Linked DNA regions of Arabidopsis thaliana. The protein of the gene in region 3 interacts with the protein of the main gene of each other region in a pairwise test. Each region holds a gene or a part of one and is shown on either strand. Other genes may lie near its edges.

What was found. Proteins that work in one complex are often made in the same cells at the same time.
Region 1: the proteins of NF-YA2 (region 3) and NF-YC1 interact in a two-hybrid assay, tested with the Arabidopsis thaliana proteins (2 studies listed by BioGRID).
Region 2: the proteins of NF-YA2 (region 3) and NF-YC9 interact in a two-hybrid assay, tested with the Arabidopsis thaliana proteins (3 studies listed by BioGRID).

Annotation. Positions count from the first base shown.
Region 1 is NC_003074.8:18,007,915-18,012,137, forward strand, and holds NF-YC1 (nuclear factor Y, subunit C1), read right to left. Parts: upstream 2,105-4,223; 5' UTR 2,025-2,104; coding exon 1,324-2,024; intron 983-1,323; coding exon 979-982; 3' UTR 679-978; downstream 1-678. Other genes in the region: XTH11 (xyloglucan endotransglucosylase/hydrolase 11), read left to right, coding at 76-427; AT3G48600 (SWIB complex BAF60b domain-containing protein), read right to left, coding at 2,254-2,391, 2,773-3,102, 3,231-3,449; NPC6 (non-specific phospholipase C6), read right to left, coding at 3,739-4,208. UniProt on the Arabidopsis thaliana protein: Stimulates the transcription of various genes by recognizing and binding to a CCAAT motif in promoters.
Region 2 is NC_003070.9:2,880,395-2,885,020, reverse strand, and holds NF-YC9 (nuclear factor Y, subunit C9), read right to left. Parts: upstream 2,531-4,626; 5' UTR 2,335-2,530; exon of another isoform or gene 1,881-2,334; 5' UTR 1,878-1,880; coding exon 1,182-1,877; 3' UTR 1,173-1,181; exon of another isoform or gene 991-1,172; 3' UTR 679-990; downstream 1-678. Other genes in the region: AMI1 (amidase 1), read right to left, coding at 1-87, 220-372, 454-566; CAX11 (cation exchanger 11), read right to left, coding at 3,144-3,908, 4,448-4,626. UniProt on the Arabidopsis thaliana protein: Stimulates the transcription of various genes by recognizing and binding to a CCAAT motif in promoters. Interacts with REF6 to directly regulate SOC1 transcription in response to flowering signals from photoperiod and gibberellic acid pathways.
Region 3 is NC_003074.8:1,675,907-1,681,314, forward strand, and holds NF-YA2 (nuclear factor Y, subunit A2), read right to left. Parts: upstream 3,063-5,408; 5' UTR 2,646-3,062; coding exon 2,600-2,645; intron 2,484-2,599; coding exon 2,214-2,483; intron 1,898-2,213; coding exon 1,803-1,897; intron 1,692-1,802; coding exon 1,473-1,691; intron 1,385-1,472; coding exon 1,016-1,384; 3' UTR 598-1,015; downstream 1-597. UniProt on the Arabidopsis thaliana protein: Stimulates the transcription of various genes by recognizing and binding to a CCAAT motif in promoters.

The DNA.
Region 1 (4,223 bases), about 16 Mb from region 3:
CATATAACACTTTTTATCAGATCATCCATTGATTAACATCAGTAACAAAAAGAAAATGTATTTCCACATTTTCAGGTTTTATGTTGACGATACACCGATCAGGGTGTACAGCAAGAATCCAGATGTTTACTACCCATCGGTGCAGACAATGTTCCTAATGGGAAGTGTGCAAAACGGATCGATAATTGACCCGAAGCAGATGCCTTACATTGCTAAGTTCCAGGCATCAAAGATTGAAGGGTGTAAGACTGAGTTCATGGGAATAGATAAATGCACTGATCCTAAGTTCTGGTGGAATCGCAAACAGCTAAGCTCTAAAGAGAAGACACTGTACCTAAACGCAAGGAAGACGTACCTGGATTATGACTATTGTTCTGACAGACAGCGATATCCAAAGGTGCCTCAAGAATGTGGAAGTTACACTTAGAGAAAGATCAATACCTGTCACAGGGTTAAGCCTACAAAACAATTATCTTGAAAAAATAACTTATGTTACTGTAAGATGCTTTATGATAAGCCTTTTCTATCAAATAACAACATTATTGTCATCAATGCTAGATACATTACTATGTCACGAGTTCATATACAGATACCTATTTACACAGAACCAAGTTGGTTCAGATCGGGTTTGCTTGAGGTTTACAAGCACTGAAACCTCTGAAAAGAACCTTACAGGTTACAAGACTGCATTTTCTCAGACATCAAGATAAGTCAAATATGAGAAAAAATCGGAAAGAAGCATACAATAGAAACTGCACATTAGATTATATATAGTTAGGCTAAGTCGCAGCAATGATGGTTTTGCTACAATAACATATACGTTAACAGAGAGAAACAAGAGTTTTTTTTACTCTTCTTTAACGAAGCCTTTTCATTGAATTTAGGCATAATCTATCAAACACATCCAAAATTCAAGGCGAGGTCGACTAATATCTGCTATCTTCAAGCAGGTCAAGCATCATCTGGAATACTCTGAGCTTAACTGCAAAAATGATACCAAAACATTGAAAGGTAAGTTTAAGGAGCCATAGTTCATTGATTCATTCAGATTCAGCAGAAGAGCAAGAGAATCTAGTTGTTTGATATAGCAATGTTTGCAAATTGCGATATGAAAACAATTTTCAAATCTTGATGATTACAGGATTAGAGATTGTTTATCATTCCAAATCCTAAAACCTTAATAAACAGAGAAATCTTGGACTAACATGATTATATCCCAAACAAACCAGACTTAGAGATTGTTTATCATTCCATCTCCTAAAACCCTAGACGATCATGTAATCAATCAATGTATATCACATTGCACAGAAAATGAAACTTTACCCTTGGCCGTCGAGATTCCCTTGACCGGAACTTCCACCACTACCATAAGAGACATCATCTCCCGTCCCCGTCGAAGTCTGCCAAACACTCTGCCACGCCTGAGACGGAGGCTGGACATAAACACCATTCGGATCCATAGCTGGTCTCCCAATCATCATCCCTCCAGGACCAGCTGGTTGTCCCATCGGCGGATAATAGTAAGGCACGCCGCTCGCGGTAGGAGCCACCACCATTCCACCACCGAGGACTGCGGCTTCGTCCTTAATCTCATCTCTAGGAACAATATCAACAAGGAAATCGAAGATATCAGTCCTAGTAATCGCAGCAGCGATATCGTTTTTCTGAAGCGTACGACGTTTATTCTCCTCAGCGTGAAGCCAAGATCTGATCGTGAGCTCGAGAATGAAAAGCTCACAAGCTTTCGCGAAGAGAATCGGTGCTTCTGCGGAGATCATACGAACATCTTCATCGGCTTTCATGATCTTTTTTATCCTAGCTAGTGGAAGCTGATGGTTTTTGAAATCGTTAACTTGTTCGATCTCTTGGCGTTGGTAGGTCCAGAATAGTTGGAGCTGTTGTTGTTGTTGTTGGAGAAGGTGGTGGTAAGAAGCTCCTCCTCCTGCGGCGGAGATGGTGGTTCCAGGTGGTGGAGGAGGGATTCCGGCGGCGGAGGGAGGTGGTTGCTGGTTGTTGGTATCCATTGGTCGGTTTTGGATTTTGATTTTTGGATCAAAAAGGTCGTGACAAGTTTTTGCCAAAGGGATTGGGGTACAAGTGGATAAGGTGGACAGCGATGTAGCTGATGATTTTCTCTCTTTTTTTTCTATTTCCTAAATTAATTTTTTTCTATTTTCTATTTCAAGTTAAATTTTGTTTTTTTTTTACACGTACCAAAGTTCATATGCATCCGAAATGAACCAAAAGAAAACATCAAGAGTGAAGAGAGCTGTCAGGAAAATGTTGCATCAAGAGTGAAGAGAGCTCTTTATTTCCGACTTTGTCTTTGCCATCGAGTATCGTCTTCAAGGTATCATCGCATCGTATCCGCCATTTACTACACTTCGTAATCTACAAATGAAACAAGTGAGCTCTAAACAAATCATAATCTCTAAACATGAAAATGCAATCTATGACCACCAAACAGAGAAGCAAGCACAAGGTCCAAAGCCACCTAAAGACACTCTATATTCGTAACTGGTGAATTCTTCATCTGACAGTGTATGAATTGACAAGCTAAGTTTTCAAAATATGCAATCAGAAAAGACCATTTCCACAAACAAAACCAAAACATTCAAGTGAGTAAACAACATTTTCAGCGTAGATGTCAATTACTCCAATAATGACCAACACAAGAATCAAATCACTACCATTCTCCAGTCTCTAGAGACTCCAATCCCTAAATGCATAAACATGTAAAGAGGAGATCATAAGGAAAGTAAAAAAGCTAACCCAAGGAAACTCGAGCAGAGTAACACCCTCATCTACGAGCTTGTGATCAAAGGCATAATCTAGCAATTTTCTCAAGGCGGCGTCAAAAGAGATTTCGCTTTGGCCGACGAATCTAGCCAGCGGCTCTGAGACTTTCACAATATCATTGAACCCCCATTTTTCTATAGTACCTCCACCGGTAGCCTTCACCTTCGCCGACATAGTTCTAACGTTAGGAAAATGTCGCAACAAAAGCTCCGTCATCTCTCTGACTCCGACGACTTTGTCTTGGCCATCGAAAATCGTCTTCAAGTTATCATCGCACAGTATCTCCTCTATATTCTCCGGATTCTACAAATCAAAGACCTATAAATCAGATACATTGCTCCAACAGAAAGAATCAGATCAAAAGACCTAGAAATCACCAAAAAAAAAAGTAGAATGAAAGGAAACTGGAGAAGAGTTTCGAAATCCCTAACCCAAAGATTGTGATCATCGGTATACTGCTCCACTTTCTCCATGGCGGTGGAAAAAGAGACTTCGCTTTGGCCGACGAATCTAGCCAGCGACTCTGAGACTGGAAAAATCTTATGAATTCCTCCTCTTCTATCAACGCCGGCGCCGGTAGCCGTCGCATTAGTCACCGCCTTCGCCATCAGTGTCCTGCATCCTCCTAGAATCTTAGAAATTGGCGACATTGTTGTTTCTCCTTCACTCCACTGCCCCTAACAATAAACAATTGAAGAAAAGTCTCCAACTAAAGAAATTGATGCAACTCATTTTGGGCCTTGTTGAATATTTATATATGGGCCTAATTGGGCTTCAGTTATATTGGGAGTTTATGAAGATCTTTCGATTGCTCAACATATCACTAACATTAACAATGAATTTTGTCTATTTCTTTGTTCCTCAATTCTAGTTTCCATACATAAAATCACACATTTTCAGATCAAAACATAGGAAGACGAATGCAAACAAGATTTTTAATCAGTTGTGTGGCCGTGTAGTGAGCGAAGATCGCATATCGACAATAGCAGATTTATCGGCACCAAGCTTCATTGCCTCTTTACTAGCTCTAATGAACCGAGAAGTAGCTCCTTTGACATACTCATGAGCTTGTTTCACAGTCATCTTCTTTCCAATTTCTTCCGGGAAGCTACTGAGGAAGTGATCACCATTGAGAACCGCTGCAAGCTGAACCACTTCACCTTGAAACTCAGAAAGAGCAGCGTCTTCTTTAGGCTCAGTGGCTCTCATAGGTGCAACTTCAGGTAGAGTCATGGGACAATCGGTTCGAGGAGTGGTTAAGTGAGATACAACGTCTTCGAAAGTAGCAGCCCATGCATCTCTATGTGTTAAGAAATTGGAAGAGAGATTGAAGAGTTTCTTGATTGTCGCTGGTATTGATGAATGCTCGTACTCTGAGCTCTCTGTTGGTCCTTTTGCTTCACTTACGACTTCATTCAAAACAT
Region 2 (4,626 bases), on a different chromosome or scaffold from region 3:
GCTGAGCCACTCGATGATCCCCCAGGCACTCTATCGAAAGCAATCGGGTTTCTCGGAGTCCCATAATGCGCATTTTCTCCGTTTATACTGCATATTAAGTAAGAACATGCTCAGAAAAAACGTAACAAACCTAGTCATATTTTAGTTCTAGCCTCTGTTATGACATATCCTGTTTCTTAAAACATGAACTCCTAAACCAGAAAAGATGTGAAATTGAACCTGTAAGCCATTTCATCCATAATGGTAATACCCAAAGCTGTGGCACCAGCTTCTAAGAGAGATGAAACTACTGGAGCTGTAGAAGTAGCTGCCGAGTGTGTCCTTAACCAATCCGGGTTACCAAAACCGGTAACGCGTCCTTCCACATCAAAACTGATCAAACCAAGCAATAAGCTCAAAAATTGATTGACAAGAAAGTATAGAAGAAACTCTGTAAGTAGTTGGATATCTTACATGTCTTTAATGGCGAAAGTAAGACCCTGTAGAGAAGGAGGCGACGAGGAAGTAGAAGTTGGAGAGATTGTAACTTTCTCAATGAAAGCTCCAAAATCATTATTGGTCGCCATTGATGCAGCTCCCTTTCTGAGAAGGTAGATGACGACCAAGTAACGCTTCTTGTAGATAAAAGCTATCACATTATTAACGCGGCTACAGTGGCCAAGTCATTTTCTATTTTGTCTTTTCCTTAATATTATTGTCCTTTTGTTTTAAATATCCAATGAGATACATTTTGTGGATAATAACTTAATATGTGTGATAAAGACACAGAAATTAACATTCAAATAAAAAAACTTTTGTCAAAAGCACACTTGTTTCTTACAGTTTATACATTCTTCTTTCTGGTTCATCCCTAAATTTCTCGTTTAGAAAAGGATCGATAGACATAAACACTTTAGATTCTTCTACAACACCCAATTTGACAATTCTGATATGTTCTTTTCATTTTCTTGTCTAAGGTCTCCCTCCTTTCACCTGGACGAGACTAGAACGCTGCAGGGAGAAAAGCGAATACACTATCACATTTTTACTTCAATAAGATAAGAATACCAAAACTGACATAGTACCAAACTGAGACGATACTGAAATAAGTTATACAAAGGTTACCATTATTCGAAAACAGAAACAAAACCCCAAGACTACAAGGTAGGCCTAAAAGAAGCTGGAAGACTCACAGTTTCTTGCTAATTTTCCTGGTCAGGTTGGTCAGGTGCCTGTTGTTGCCACATTGGTTGACCCATATAAGGATTAGGTGGATACGCACCACCGGGATTACCCATAACCATTCCCGGATTTCCTATTGGAGCAGTTCCTGCAGGCAAGTATCCATACGGGTAACCAGCAGCAGCAGCTTCCGGGACAGTGCCCCTCGGAATACTTCCCAAGACTTCATCTCGGAGATCCTCCCGGGGAACAATATCCACAAGGAAATCAAAAATATCGGTTCTAGTCACAGCAGCAGCAATATCGTTCTTCTGCAACGTCCGCCTCTTATTCTCCTCAGTGTGGTTCCACGACCTGAGTGTCAGCTCCAGGATGAACATCTCACAGGCCCTTGCAAACACGACAGGCGCCTCAGCCGAGATCATACGGACATCTTCATCCGCTTTCATGATTTTCTTGATTCTCGCAAGGGGAAGGCTGTGGTTCTTGAAATCGGTAGTCTTCTCAATCTCTTTGAATTGGTTCTCCCAAAATGCTTGAAGCTGCTGTGCCAGCTGTTGCTGCTGCTGCTGCTGATGGATCTGGTGGAACGCCAGCTGGCCTGGTTGTGCCGCACCTCCTGCTACAGTAGCAGCAGTGGTGCTCATCGGGTTGGTTTGGTATGGGTTTGTGCCATAGTTCATAGCTCCAGACTGTCCATGGTCTTGTTGATCCATTCACTACCAGAATAAAAAAACAGAACTTTGGGATTCATTCTAAGCTCTTAAGAAACATCTGACCAGAATTTTAAAGAAATGTGAAGGAGATAAGGTTGCTAACAAACAATTTACATAAATAAGAATCTGCTGAATTTACTTTATATATGGTCTAATCTGTAATTCTAGATTAACCTTGAAGATCTAAACAGCAATAAGTATGAAAATTGAGCTTCGAATTAAAAGACAATACATCAACCTACTTATTCCAACCCATAAATTTGATAAGGAAAACAGGAAAATATCGAAAGGGATTGCCTTTAATTTCCTTCAAAATAGACAGAACAAAGAATCTGCTAACACAGAACAACTAGAATTGTTCCTACAACACCAAGCATATTATTTTATCATGTGAATTCCACAATATATAAGTAAGAACAAGTCAAATTGAAAAAAAGAATCTGCAAACGAGAGTGACCTGTGGAAAGGAGAATCTGAAGGGGAAGAGACTGGTTGATCCTCTTGGTGGGTAGAGAGAGTTTTAAGATCTGGTTTTTTTGTGTTAATTTGTTGTGATTTTATTAGGGTTTTGCTGCTTTACCCTTTTTTCGACTTTAACAATGAGGAGGAATTTAGAAAGACAAGGGGAAGTAAGTGGAAAGAGCTTTAAAAGCTGGGTGTCGTGTCAACCATTGGGCTTATGTCAAGATTCTTCTGCTCTTGTCAGATCATGATTTGTTTTATCTCTTACATTAATTAATTCATTTTTATTATCTTCTTAGGATTTAATTGGCAACCTTTAATTATCTTCTTTGGAGGTTCAAATTTCACAAGTAGTTTTGTTGTATCACAACATATTTGGCATTCACAGAGAATCAAATCACATAAAAAAGAACCAGAATCAACATTTTGTTCTGCTCTAATACACATTCTAGGATCAATGAAGTATTTCTCATTAATATCAAAAGAATACAAATGTGTGGTTTATACATATATAACAGACCCAAAAAAACAAGACCAGTACAATCAATGGAAAAGTAAACCAGATGGGGGAGTCAAAATCTTCTCCCAAAGCACATATATTTTACCATCACCTATCTACCAAACTTTACTAATCTGGCTCGGACGATCACAAGAACTTTTTGTGGGATTCGAAGATTACTGGTCTGGCGGTGGCCATCAGCTGAGCTCAAAATTTTGGCAATTCCCTTCTAGACAACAAAAATTCCTAAACAATGAACCCTGGTTGACCCTAGATTATTCAATGTGCAGACTTCACGCATATGATCAGGTTGAAACGCTGGCGATGATCAAACTAACAAATGTGAAAGCAACATACAGTCCAACAAGACAGATCCCCCAGAATCTCGGAACTCGGAATCTAGACCAGGTTATTACCAACAGAGATCCCATTAGACTAAGCAACAAGAAGACGAAAGCTATCACAATACCTACATGGAATCCAAGTTTGTAAGCGTCTGGATATACATTAGCTGTTTGCATCACCAAGGCCGATCCAAGTCCAACAAGCATGTTAAACATTGGACCTGCAAAACAACCGGCCATAGCCATTGCTGGTCTACCTGCCTTTGCAACTGCCACGTCAGCAACTAGGTCACCAACCGAGTTTCCCCAAGCAAGAACGGTTAGGCCAAGGAGCGCCGGAGGCAGTTTAAGGAGGGTTCCAAGCGCAGCCAAGCAGTTAAGGAGCTCACCAGCAATTGTTGATATCCAGAAAACACTCATTATGAAAGCTACAACAATGACCGGCAGTTGCTCGGTTTTTGGTGGTTGTTTTTCTACTGTGAAGTGGAGGAACGCTAGGGAAGACGTCATGAAGAGGACAACAAGCCAAAGCGGGAGATGGGTGTTTGGAAAGAGGAATGAAATTGGGTGGTTTAGTTGTACAAAAGAGTTGCAAGTGTATAAAAGGGCAAAAGGGCAGAAAACAATGTTGGCAGAGCGATAAAACCTAGACCATTCCGAAGGAGAAGGTTTTGGGATGGTAAGGTTCAAAAGAACTGATACAGGAGTTTCCCACATCCTCGAGATCTGCAATCACAGCAGCAAAAGCAGAATCAGACAACCTTCACTAAACTTATTTCAAACTTAAATGCAGTCTAACAGAAAAAATATAGTAACCTGGATAAGATCCAAACAGGTAAACTCCTTTAGAGTCGAATTCACCAAAGGAATACATATCATAGAGAGACTTGATTAACGAGTCTTGACCAGTTCCCAATCCTAAACCCTACGAAATTCTCTCAAACTCATTTTGCCCAACTTCTTTCTAACATGTTAGCTCTCTAGCTAACCGATCTAACGATTGCTCCTGAGCTGTCAACACAGCTACAATCCAGTTGAAAACGCCTAAGCAAGTGAAAATGCTCATTCACTAGACTAACACAGAGACTTATCATAACCTTAGAGTACACTAAGAAGAAAACAGGAAGCAAATTAAAACCTTTAAACGCATAATCTAAACTAAACAATATCGGAGTTCACAATTGGTAGCTGAATATGATACTACCATAAAATTCCAGCATTATGATCGATAAACAAAGCTCAAAGATGAGTGAAGAAGAATTTACCGTTCCATAAAGCCGAAAAATTCCTGAAAATTGATGTTCTTTCTCTGCTTTATAACTCCCAAGAGAACCTGCGGCAATCTCACAATCCTGAAGTCTCAACAAATCCTTCTCTTCCTCACTGATACTTTTCCCTTTCTCAACATTGGTACCAAAATCCATCCAGAAGACGAAACCAACGA
Region 3 (5,408 bases):
CAAGCTATAAATATCAAAAAAAAATCATGATCATTTTACAGTAAAAACATAGTAATAGAATATGAATATTTTCTTTCATATTTGCTAATATATTATTAATCATATCATGGATATCACATATAGCTATCTAAAACTTAAAGATATTATAGATTTTGGCCACTACAATAGATTATATACCTAATCCAATGTTAAATTTATTTAATATTTATTCTTAAACAAAAGTAAATGCAGTTTCAAGTATAATCTTATTATATTATAGAGTGCTAAATATTTTACGTTTTTATTTTTTTTTACTCTAAATATTTTACGTTTTTTGTAGCCATTTCCGCATTTATTTTTCACTACAGATTTACTTGGGAAAAAACCGCCATCTATTTATAATTTAGACGTTTAATACATGTAACATTAACTGCGGTTAAAAGCTAACCATGGTTGTTTAGGATATATATAATATATCGTTTCACATGTTGACAAATGGAATGTCTTAGTTGAGTGGTTGAACGTTGCTCGATTTTTTTTCGATCTCGGATCGATAGCTAGATTGATCAACCATTAGATTTGGAACAGAATTTTTTTTACTCTGTCTTTGCTGTATAAGTCCTGGATAATAAGCAAATAATAACATAAATTCGACCAAATATACAAAAACACAGGTCTTAAATATGTTACATAAACCACATAACTTAAAAGTTGTTACAGTTGTTTGAGAAACACACAAAGCCAGAGAGAGCTACAAAATCAGATAACAGAGTTTTCTTAAAACACACACTACTAGTTGGAACAAGTGGGTTTAGTGACCAAACACATCATTGTTCTTCACCAGTTTTAACTACTTTTACACTGAAGATAAATATATCAAAGCTTTTTTCACCTCACGGCGAAGTTACCTTAATAGAGAATGAGCCAAAGATGATTTGCCTGTTCACAGCCAAAGCGGATTGGCAAAAAGGAAAATCCTTTATACCAAGGCAAGAGTTCTTTATCTCTCTCCGTTTGACTGTGAAACGGTAAAGGATCAGGTTTTGAAATTGCAGCAGCCATTATCCATTGCTGCTGCTGCTGCTATCCACTTGCTAGGCATTACCATGCCACCAAGAGAATGAACGGGAGAACTTAGGAAGTAGTTCATGCTAGTAACTTCTGATCCCGACACATTTAATCCGTTCGATAAGTTCATGGTCCCGTTTTCCGGATGAACAACTTCAGAATTCTGAGAGTTACTTTGCTGAGGCTTAGGCTGAGACTGAATCTGCATACTTCCATCACCTTTCTTTGCATTGGTTCCGCTATTTTCCAAGTTCTGACTTTTAGTGTTCAAGAATCTCCCACCGGATCCTCTAGGACGCCGCAATGCATGGAGATGGCGCGAATGATGCATATATGGCTGCAACATACATAACAAAAGCAAACACACTAATTCAGTAATAAAATCTCATTTGCACAAAAGTATCAAACTAGTTTCTATATGTTACCTTGCGGCATCTACTACTCAATTTCTTCTGATCAAGAACAGCAGCAGCCTTTGCGCGGGATTGGCGTCTCCTTATGATTCCATGGTATTGCTTTGAGTTCACATAGATGGTACTATCTTCCGTTTCCATGTTTAGAGGAAGCATTACCCTGCTCTGAGATCCATAGGCTGAAACAACTCCATAGTATTGTTGTTCTCCATAGGGATACTTTGTATAGATCTAAATGACCAAAGTAAACAGCCAACAAACACTAAATACTCAGAAACAAATTAAAGGAAACTCATGATAGGCTTATTCATTATATGTTTTTCAATGCGGAAAAGTTTTTACCGGTGGCTGAGAAAATCCAAGTTCCAAGCAAGGTGATTGCATTGAGAAAGTAGCTCCATGAGGCTTTGGCACAAGTCTTGGACTCTTTACATCACCTAATACATACATAGTGAAAATTATTCCAAATCAGATCACAAACGCATTCTTAGATTCACAATTACCTACAGAACAAATAACATTTTTACAATCCAGAATTTGAACCATAAAGATATCTTTTTAAACATCTTTATATCTTGTAGAATCTTAGATTCTCTTTTCGGACAATTTAGCTCAGTTCTGTTCACTCTCAGTCATACCTATAAATAACTAGTAAAACATGTACTAGCACTTTCCAAAAAAAGCCACTTTTGACAAATTCAGAAATTTTCACTAGAACCATCTATTTGAGGGCAAAAGAAGTTAAGAGTTTACCAAGTGAGAAAGCTAAGTGCGTTGCAGAGTTGCTCTGTTTATCCACACGTTGTCCTGTCTCTCCGACAGATCCGACCTTAACTCCGGCGAATGAGTCAGAATCGCCGGCGAGACTCTCCGGAGCCAACGGCTGAGATCCAAAAGCAGTCCACCAAGAAGTCTGTGGAGCAGAGAAGAGACCTTCTCTCACAGTTTGCATAGCCATCTCCAAATTCCAATTACAAAAAGTGAAAAATAGATAGTGCCTAGAAGAATAAGAAAGATATGTTCCTGTGGAAGATAACAAAAAAAAAAAAGTCAACAAAGTAATAATAAGAGTTGGATGTGAAATCTTTGTCAAATTTCAAACCCAATTTAGAAAACTTGTAAGAAAGAAAGGAAAGAACTTTGGGATTGGGTATTACGCAAAACCACACGAATGACAAAACCCATATGTGAATCATCATCAAGAGACAGACTTGTTGTCTAAAGTAAGAAAAAAAGATTGTGTGAAACGAGAAGATAAGACGCAAGAACTGAAATCTTTTTCACAGACTAGAGATCCCCAATAGCAAACAAACTCCAAAAAGAAGTAAAATAAAATCCCAAATGTTGGTCAAAATCAAACACACGAAAACCTATGTGAATCTAAAAGAATAAAGCAAAGAAAAAAAGAGAAAGAGGTTGAGTAAAACTTACACAGATGGAGTGATAGAGTAGAGAGTAGAGAAGAGCTTCAGATTCCTAGGAAGAGGCAGAGAAAAGCCCAATTGTTAGGAAGCCATCTCGGTTCCAAAACAAGAAACAGAGATTCATTCACACACATTAGTATTTAGTAGGGAGAGAGAGAAAGAGAAGAGAGAGACGTACTAATATATGAATTACAAATGTAGATGACAACTATAGCTTTATCAACCAATCACCTTCAACTTTTATGCTGCTCTGTTTTTTTTTTTAATTTTCTACTTTATTTGGAGTTGGAGATATAAATGTAAAACAACTAAAAATAATTGGTCTGGTTTTTAACTATAGCGTTGGCTTGACGTGCTTTGTTTTAAAAAGCTACAATGATCCCACTTAAATCCATTTTTATTTCATTTTTGATTTTTGATATTTTTCCACTAGGTAAGAGTAGTGCTTGGCTTGTCAATTGCATCGTTTATTATTATGATTGTGGTCCTTGTAAGCTTTTAAATTAAAAATGTGCATATACGTCATATGGAAAAAGGATCACCACTCAAAAATAATAAAATAATTAAAACTAAAATAAAGTAACAATCTGACATCTTCAACAATGACATGCCAATATTTGCTATTATAAGCTCGTGACTTATTCCCTACCAAAACATTATATAAAGTCTGCCAGAATCAACCTTTGTATAATTCTGTAAATAGACCAAACATATTTTCGCAATAGCATTTCCACTTGTTGAGGATGTTATTCTTAACTAGGTTTTCAAATGTTTTTCACACATTTGTCCTTTTGTTTCCTCTTTTGTTATGTTTCTTTAAATAGTTCTAGTTATTTTGTGAACCCGACCGTACACGTGTTTATGATTGAAATTAGACAACTAATAGTTAAGCTCTATAGATATCATTCCGGAGACATTATAATACATGTTATATATTTGTAAGAGATTGCTTTTGCTTTTAGTGTTGGACTTGATTATTATGGATTAGCTTCCTTTACCTAATTTAAGAATTTGGTTTATATTAGATGTTGAATTGAACTTAACTGAATTAAATCTAAGAGAAATAAAATAAGGTTAAATTGAAAAATAGAATATTGGTTTACGGGCTTGACAAAGAAAAAAAAAGGGTTTACGTTAGTGCTTGCTTTTGTTTATACGTCGTGCACTGGTGCTTAAGCATATCCCACTAGCAGCTTTTCTTTCATCCGAAACACAATAATTAATTGAATTATGCACTATAGTACAGTAGTACGTACACTATCTTCTAACAAAAATATCTACTTTCACTGACATATAGAAAGCTCAGTTCTAGTCTTAGTTTATTGCTTTATCGTAAATATATATCTAAAGCACAATCTTTTTATGGATTTGTGATCAACGATTTTAATGTAGTTGGCAAAAGAACAACATAATTAAATAGCTTATTTTCAAATAATGTAGGGAATATAGCTAGACTGCAAAATGCGAATCATAAGACTCAAAGCAAAACTAGAAATGTTTTATGGTGAAGATATGAATTTGTAGTCATCGATCGATATAGTACTTTTCATGAATGTACGTTTTGCTAAACACTTTATCAATAAATAAAAAGTATGTTTTGGTCTAAAGCATTAAAGAGATATCAAAGCATGTTATATATCAACATTAAAAGGTCAACCTGCCACCAAAGGTAGATGAGGATGCAAGATGATAGTCAACGTACGATGGGTAGATCTATTGTTTTGTAATTGATTGATGTTGAGCTACATTCCACAATCAAAATATTTCTACAGATGAAGAACTTTCAAAATTGGTTTACTACTGTATATTGGTATATATAATATACATATTCGATCTACTCATTTTTTAGTCTTTTTCAAAGATTTCTACATGTAAAATGGTTTTCATATTAGTTGTAGATTTTAACTACGATGAATAATTATTATTTACTAAGAATAAAAATTGTCAGTCTGATTCGTCTCCTCTAGACACGTATAGATAACAATACTAAAGCTGCTCTGTGGGATGAAATTAGTTTTGACACTAATTAACCATAAACCTAATTACAACCTTATTATATAAAAGAAGATTAACAACACTAAGATATATAAAATAACCCATTAGCTTTCTTAAAGAGATTTTGCTTTTCTTCTGAAAATATATATAAAAAAACAGTCGCTATAGATATTGTTCATCTTATTCTCCTATGCGATTAATATGTAAGTCACTCATTGGCTCCACTTGTTCATAAGCTTCCAAAAAACACGATTACTGACTAATCACCAACTATATTTTTCTATGTTCTTAAGAAAATTGACAACCCAACTTTTGAATATGCACGAAATAACAAAGTATTAAAATGAAGTAGAGCTACATATGCATTCCACTTGAATACATGAACTAAGGACACTCAAGTGGAAGTCGAGTGTGTACGTTTATGGTATTAAAGGAATTAAAGAACCTTTGCTTACGACAGTAAAGGAATTAAAGAACATTTGCTTTTAGCTATGTCACTTCCTTTCCTCAATGTTCGATTGGATCGTTG